2 linked regions of the Mus musculus genome follow. The protein of the gene in region 1 purifies or fractionates together with the protein of each later gene. This does not show direct contact. Links are inferred from orthologs where the notes say so. Each region holds a gene or a part of one and is shown on either strand. Other genes may lie near its edges.

Evidence for each region. The genes of interacting proteins can lie anywhere in the genome.
Region 2: the proteins of Ryk (region 1) and Adgra3 purify together in Homo sapiens (affinity purification with mass spectrometry; 3 studies listed by BioGRID and IntAct, with this or other methods). This does not show direct contact. The link is inferred for Mus musculus from reciprocal best matches to the Homo sapiens genes RYK and ADGRA3.

What each region holds. Positions count from the first base shown.
Region 1 is NC_000075.6:102,833,780-102,838,234, forward strand, and holds the start of Ryk (tyrosine-protein kinase RYK isoform 1 precursor), read left to right. Parts: upstream 1-1,140; 5' UTR 1,141-1,276; coding exon 1,277-1,460; intron 1,461-4,455. UniProt on the Homo sapiens protein: May be a coreceptor along with FZD8 of Wnt proteins, such as WNT1, WNT3, WNT3A and WNT5A. Involved in neuron differentiation, axon guidance, corpus callosum establishment and neurite outgrowth.
Region 2 is NC_000071.6:49,962,032-49,965,659, reverse strand, and holds part of Adgra3 (adhesion G protein-coupled receptor A3 precursor), read left to right. Parts: intron 1-1,823; coding exon 1,824-1,969; intron 1,970-3,628. UniProt on the Homo sapiens protein: Orphan receptor that may have a role in planar cell polarity pathway.

The DNA of each region.
Region 1 (4,455 bases):
GTCACAGGGATGGGATGACCCTGTTCTGGAGGAAGTGAGAAGGGATGCTTGGGAGCCAGCCTGAGTGATGGCTTGTGGAGTAAGCTTGACTGGGGCTTCCCCAAATTCTTCATCAGAGTCTCTGGGATGTATCAGAGATCCTTAACCGGTTTAGGGAGACAAGGGCTTCCTAGAGCAAGGGATGAAATGTAAAAACCACTCTCCAGTATGTGAAAGCACCCATGCACACAGACAGCCATGTACAGCCATAAGCACACACTCACATACATTCCATGTTTTGGAGGGGGGGGCTGGCATGGACCACAGGTTAAAAGCCCAGATACAGGTTGATTTACAGTAAAGGAGAACTAGGATAATAAAAGTTCGTCACATGTAAAAATAAGCTTGCTGGGCATGGGTGGCACAGGCCTTTAATCCTGGCACTTGGGAAGCAGAGGCAGGCAGATCTCTGTGAGTTCAAGGCCAGCTTGGTCTACATAGCAAGTTCCATGCGGGCCAGGGCTACATAGTGAGACCCTGTCTCAAAACAAACAAACAAACAAACAAACTGTAAACCAAAATACAAAATAAAAAGTTTACTAAGGTTTTATGAGTTTTTTTTGTTTTTGTTTTTGCTTTCTGGAAAGTGTGTGGCATGTGAATTTTAGGGAACAGACATGCTAACTAGAGGCTGACCTCTGATGGTGGGATAAGGGAAGATTTCTACGTACCCGTCCCTTCTCACTAAATAAAACAGCATTCTTTTCTTTTGAGACAGCATCCAAGACTCAGGGCGCACCTGGGGAAGAATAAAGAGACCAACCGACTCTAGGCCTCAACGACTTGGGCTGGGGACTGGCTATATTAGCCTAGAGCCCTTCGCCTGGCCAGGGCACTTCATTATTGTTTTTGATTAGTTTGTGTCTCTTTAACTCATTTCCTTTATTCCTCGCGCGTTTCAGCCTGGCAAACAACGTAATGTTATTTATACCAACCCCTACGCGCGGCCCCCACCCCGACCTCAGGTCTGAGACGCTCTCCCGTGCACGCGCGCCCCAGAACCAGGCGCTCTCGGTCGGGCGGCACATGCGTGCGCGCCCTCGCGCACGGCGGGCACGCGCACGCGCGCGTCTCCGCCCGCAGCTCGCCCCCCCACCCCCTCCCGTTCCCGGGCGGCGGGTCTGAAGCGGCGGCGCGATGAGCTGGCCGGCCGCCCCCGGCTCGGGGCTGTGAGGCGCTCGGGGCCGGGGTGCGCGGCGGCGCGGCGGGCGGCGGACGCTCCTGCTCGGCGGCGGCCATGCGCGCGGGCCGGGGCGGCGTCCCGGGGAGCGGCGGCCTGAGGGCCCCGCCGCCGCCGCTGCTGCTGCTGCTGCTGGCGATGCTGCCCGCCGCCGCCCCGCGGTCCCCGGCCCTGGCCGCCGCTCCTGCGGGACCCAGCGTGAGCCTCTACCTGAGCGAGGACGAGGTGCGCCGGCTGCTTGGTGAGTGGCGCGGCTCCCGGGGCCTCGTGAGCCCGCGGTGCTGCCGCTGCGCCGCCCGCGCTCTCTCTCTCTCTCTCCCTCTCTGCAGCCTCCCTGCGCGTGTCACTCTAGGCCGCGGAGCTCCGGAGCCTCGGAGTCGGCGCTCGGGACACGGGTGGCCGCTCCTTAGCCTGCTGTGGGTGGCCCACAGGCCACGCCGCCGCCGTGCGCTTGCTTTCTGGTTAGCGAGTGGGGGGCAAGGTGAGCCGGGCGCCCTGAGTTGTGTGGCATCCTGCACACCTTCGGGCCGACCGGATCCCAAGCATCGGGGTTTGCCTTGGGTTCCTTGAGTGTGACCTGATGCTGCCGTTCCAGGCCACTTGCCTACTCTGCAGACCCTGAAGCGAGAGGAGAACTTGGCTTTGGGGTCCGTCGGCGGTGGTTCCGTTTACCTGTTTAGCCCGTTGTTTGGGGAGTCCGACTCTGCCCTCCGCTTGGAACTCTGTGCATTCTGAAAATCAGCCCTTGAAGGAAGGCCTGGCCAGCCATCAAAAGGAAGTCTCTGATAGTTAGGGATACCCAGCTTTTGCCGTCTTTTGTGCATTAAGGCAGTCCCTTCACTTTTTATCGGGGTGTTTTAGAGTGAAGTGTTGGAACTGGAAAGGTCTCCCCCTAAATATCCATTAAGTGTCACTTTTTTAGTGAGCGAGTATGCCTCCCCCAAGTGTGTGTGTGTGTGTGTGTGGTGTGCGCGCGCGTGTGTATGCGTATGTGTGTATTAGAGGAGGTTTTTTTGTTTGTTTGTTTGTTTGTTTGTTTTGTTTTGTTTTTCCTTTCCAGACAGGGACTTTATGTAGCCTGGGCTGTTTTGGAATCCACTATGTAGACCAGGTTGGCCTCAAGCTCACAGAGAGCCTTCTGCCTGTTAGAAGAGTTTCTTAGGGTCTGTTGAGAGAGTTTAGCCTCGGAATGAAAACTGCTTTTAGCAGACTGTTTAGACATAGTTGTATGTGTAGGTTTATCGGCTTTAACTAAAGAACTGTGTTTTCCTAACATCCTAATTTAACCTTCCTTATAGTCTAGTTGAATTAGCTGAATTTAGTCTAGCAGAATTGAAATGGCATCTGAGTTACGCCTGGAGCATGGGAGAAAGGCTTGGGAAAAAATAACGATTTGTAGTGCGGCTCCTAGGCGTGCTTTTGTAAGGGTTGTTTTTGTTGTTGTTAAAAGAACTTACGTAATTGTGACTTTATTGACATGTATTTCCTCTCCTGCCTTAGCCAGGATGGAAGTAGGGAGACAGAGATATCTGGCAGCAGACAGAGACGAGTACATGTGCCTACCGTTGCGTGTTAGAGTTTTGCTGTTACTTTTATTTATTTTGGTGTGTGTGTACCACGATGTGTTCTGTGGAGGTCACAGGACACCTTGAAGGTGTGGGCTGTCTTTCCACTATTAATAGGGGGTCCCAGGGCTCAAACTCATGTCATCTGACTGGACGACAAGTGCTTTTACCTGCTGAGCCATCTAGCTGGGGCTTGATATGGACTTAAACATGTTGTTTCAGTTTCTTGTTACCCAGTGGGGCAATTATGGGAGATGAGAAAAGTAAGGCTTTCAGTAACTTGCTGAAGGTAACATGGTTTATTTCATATATTACATATATAATATATACCCACACAAGACAGTGTTTCCTGGCTGCAGACTAAGTTATTGAAGGGCATGTGCATTTAGAAGTTTGATTATGGCATGTTAAAAAAGAGACTGTTGTTCATTAGTACGTGAAGTGATACCTTTGTAGCCTGGAACTGATTTTCTTAGGACAGTAGCTGAGGGGGCACCTGATGGATGAGCACCTGGTCCAGTAGTGTGTGAAATAGAGTGGGGAGCATGGCTCATTAATGCTCCCATCCACCCTTAGGTATTTCAGTTCCATGCAAGCTGAGTTGTCCTGTTACAATGTGGTCTCTAGATAGTCCTCTTGCAGAACCAGGGCCTCTTTCTGTCCCTTTACGTTTCCCTCAGCTGTGCTGCTGTTGAAGGATTCCCATCTGGCTTTGTCTGGGTGGCAAAGTGCAAGTACTGGGACGTTTGCTGGGCCTCCTGAGTGTGGCTGTGATGGTGTGTACGTGCGAGACTGTTGGAGATAGTGCTTTCCACCACGTTTTCCTTTGCGTAAAGGGTTAAGTGACTTCCAAAAGCTCAGGCAAGCTAGTGTCAGTTTTACAGTGTTGCTGAGACCCAGGGTTCAGAATGCCAGGTGAGAACTTGGAAGTTGGAAGTGACAACTCTGTGGAGCTGGCTGTACTTGATAGGAGAAGTGCTTTTAATCCAGACATTAGCTGCACATAATAGAAATCAATTGGATAATAGCAAAAAGGCCTTGAACCAGAAGCCATCAGCACCCTGCCTTTGGGCTTTTTGCCCTCCAGGTCCCACTGCCCCAGTGGGCGTAGTTCACACAACTGTGGTGGAGTTTGTCTTTCCCTTGTTGTCTTTGGAATTTCTAGACTAGTGTGGACTGAACATTTGTCTTCTGGGGTCCTCCTTGTTCATCAGACTCCCCAGGGCAGGTGGGTTTTTTTTTTTTTTAATTTTAAAAAACATCCCAATCACAAAGGAACTCACACAATATCTACTCACTGATAAGTGGATATTAGCCCAGAAACTTAGGATACCCAAGATATAAGATACAATTTGCTAAACACATGAAACTCAAGAAGAACGAAGACCAAAGTGTGGACACTTTGCCCCTTCTTAGAATTGGGAACAAAACACCCATGGAAGGAGTTACAGAGACAAAATTTGGAGCTGTGACGAAAGGATGAACCATCTAGTGATTGCCATATCCAGGGATCCATCCCATAATCAGCTTCCAAACGCTGACACCATTGCATACACTAGCAAGATTTTGCTGAAAGGACCCAGTTGTCTCTTGTGAGACTATGCCGGGGCCTAGCAAACACAGAAGTGGATGCTCACAGTCAGCTATTGGATGGATCACAGGGCCCCCAAT
Region 2 (3,628 bases), on another chromosome or scaffold:
CTATTTCTATTTTTGCATGTTCACATGTGATTATTCATCATACAGGTGGGTTTTGTTGTTTTGGTATGGTTTAGTTTGGTTTGGTTTTGGTACAGCTGTTGTGTCTAGAACAGTGTATACATACTGTAGTGGCTTAGTTGAAAAAAGACAATGTAAATAGATCAGAGTTTCTATTACTATGTAAGTGCCATATAAGTAAGTGGGGTTTACTCCACTTATATAAATTTACTGATTTCTATACAACAAATTTGCACGGGCTCCTTTTGCTTAAAGCTCTGAGGATGATTCAGATGGCAAAAAGGGCCGTGATGTTTTTCTCTATGAACCTTTCTTTCCTTGCAAGTCAGTAAAACTGCTGTGAACCAAGGAGCCACTTCTGTCCCTAGGAGATGGTGACTTCTGAGTGTCCTATTGAGATAAGTGGGACCCACTGTCCTGGCACTTCCAGAGTCTGCATGGTTTATTCTGGGTGGCTACTGTCCTGGCTCAGAGTCACTTGGGCTCTTTTGCCTCTAGGCTTTAGCTGCAGGCTGGCTCTTGTTCTTTTGTTGCCAACCTGGGTTTGGAGATGTCAGCAGGAGTTTCCTGAAGGTTGGAGCGCTACCCCCTTAATGAATAGTTTTTCTTGGTGCTTTTCATTTCTAGACTTTTACCTGTAATAATTGTGAGGAAAAGGTACTGATCCAGGACTCACTCCTCAGCTCCATGTAAAGCCATGCTCAATGGAGTGCCCTGCACTTCAGTACCTAGGGGGTGGAGGGTCTTATAGAAGGAGTACAGTCTTCATCCACTGCATGGTGACATTAAAGTCAGCCAGGAGACCTTGAGATTCTGTTCCCCAAATAAGCAAAGACACAAGATAACAACTGTTGGAAAAAGTAGCAAGTCATTAGTTTAGAAAGCTGGCCATGATATGTCATACTTATAAATCTAGCACTTTGTAAGCTGATGCAGAAGGATGACTGCAAGTTCAGAGTCAATCTGGGTTACACAGTGAGTTACAGGCCACCCTAGGCTACAGATTCCGTCTCAGTCTGACCTTCTGCCCCATCCCATAAAAGAAACAAGATTCTAGATTGTGTCCTTCCTCTGCTGATGTATACTGTTTATTTTCTTAAAACAAACAAACAAACAAACAAAAAACGTTCAAGCTGCTTGTGTTCCCTTTCAACATCATACAGAATTGCCACCCCAGCCAGAGGGATCATGTGATCAGCATACCTCCTGTCATCACAAGCATAGAGTCCAGTCTGCGTTATGTGGGCAGCTACACCGTCAGGTGCCTAGTGTGCCCATGAGTTTACGCCTATTCAGATTCCACAGAACGCCAGCGCTGTCTGTTAGTAAAGTCCCCACTATTAAATTGAAGAGACAGAAATCCAGGGTTCACAGGCTTTCTTCAGCACGGCCCTTACAATAATCACAATAAGTACTCTTGGGAAGCAATATAACAGAGCTGAGGGCTTGAGATCGTGCGTGATTTGGCTGAAATCACAGTCGGGTAGGGAAATGGGTGCAGTCCTAAACTGAGGGAAAGTGTTTTACTTCTGAGTTTACCTGCTTAAGCCTTACCTTGTTACATCACTTTCTTCCTGAAATATGGCGACTCTCAGGCAGAGCCCAGGTGTGTCCCTCCCCTCCCCTTCTCTGCTTCTCCTCGAGGTGGCAGTTAGAAGGTGAACCAAGTGATAAATTGATCTTCTGTTAAGAACCTCGATTCCTTCATGAGCACGTGAAGGAGTCGCCTTCCTACTGCATTTTAATCAGACTCGAGGAAACATTTGTTCTTTTAATCGTCATACATTGTCCAATCTTCTTTGTAGGTTGGGATCATTCTTCATTATTCTACCCTTGCCACGGTATTGTGGGTTGGAGTCACTGCTAGAAATATCTATAAACAAGTCACCAAGAAAGCCAAGAGATGCCAGGATCCAGATGAGCCACCCGCTCCTCCACGACCGATGCTGAGGTAGTGTGAGCCTTTGTTGTATCGCAGGTGTTCATTACCTATTGTGTTTGCTTTAGTTGAACCACAGTCGTAACTTACAACAGCAAGAAACATTGGTGTGGCCTTTGAGAGGTCAAAGGGAAGACTTGCAAGCTGACTGGTTCTCAGTGCTATGAGCATCAGCGTCTCCACTGTGCCTCTCAAGCTCAGAAGGAGTGAGAGGGTCTCATGGTTATGTGCAGAGCAAGAAGGAGGTATCAGCTCTCTATAAAATACTAGCTTCTTGAAGTTTTTTGACATCCTGTGTCATTGATCTTCATCTTAAGAATTAATTTTGTCTCTCAACAAAAGACAAAATGAGTTCGGAGTTACATCTCCTTCCTGCCCGTTACGATAAAAAGAGTTGTGAATGGACTGATTGTGCTAGATGAGCAGAATTCTCAGTTGTGAGTAGGTTCACTGGAGGCCTGATGTGCACCCAGCTGAGCGCACCCCGCCTCAGAGTTTGCAGAACTGGCTGTGGATACGTATTGTTCAGACCTCCAGAAAGTGCGGAATTGCACGTACAAAGAAGGGCCACTTGTGAGAGGAGGGCACTTGCTGAAGCTGCTGCCATGAACCTGCTTTGGGGTTAGGGAATGGTAGAGGTGTCCCCTGCATAAAGGAGCTAGCTGAGAAGCGCAGGTTGCTTCCATTCAAGTCCATCTTGGGGAACTTGTACATTTGCTAGATTGACTGGCAGGACCGTGGGTGACTCGGACAAGGGTCACAGCTAGTTCTACTTATTGCCTATAGTACCTCAGGGAAGGGCCTCTATAGTTGTCTAAGTTTTGTAAGCTTCATGAGTTTGTAAATTTCTTAAGTGTTTATGCATTTCATACCCAGCTCTTCCAGAGCTGCACAACAGATAGCCACGTTAAAGTGTGAATAGCTGCCGGACAGCGAGCTTTAACTCAGGAAGTGGGTGCTGAGAGGGTCTTGTTAGGACAGTGTGGCATTAGTGTGGAGTGTAAGTTGGGATGCCTGAAAGTAAGAAGTGTTGGTGAGTCACGGGGTTTTCGCTGAGGACTGGAGCCAGAGAGCTTGTACATGCTAGATGTGTGAGGAGGGTCGTGGGATTGCCTGGATCTGAGTACTCGAGTGTCAGAAAGGTGAAGACGTCTGCAGGGTTACAGTAAGCCTGCAGATGGTGTTTCCATCAGCTGAAAAAGACAGGCAAAATAGCATGCATAGTAAGCACCAGGGAGGTTTACCAGTGCTCGGCCCAATTCGTTTCCACATGTTGCTGTCACTGAAGTGCTTGTACTGAGCAAGGTCTAGGGAGAAGTTAGGGGTGTAGTGATCCAGAGGCGACATATCTTTCCAGTAGACGAGCTATGTTTGAAATGAAAAGGAACACCAGATAGACTGGATATCTCCAGCGCTGTTGAGGTTTGCTAACCCAGCCTGCAGAGGCACACTGTAGGGTTGGCTCAGATGCCTGCCATTGTGTGTAAGAACTGAAGAGTATCGGCTAGCTGAAGTCTGCGAAATCTCACTCTCCATAGCTCTTCCTACTGTATTTTATGTGTGTGAATCTTGAAAGTTGCCGTGTAATAATAGACCCACAGTTTTTGGCTCACCAGCTGAATTTAATGGAAGCCACTTTCCCTGAAAACACAACCCACTAAAAGCTTAGGT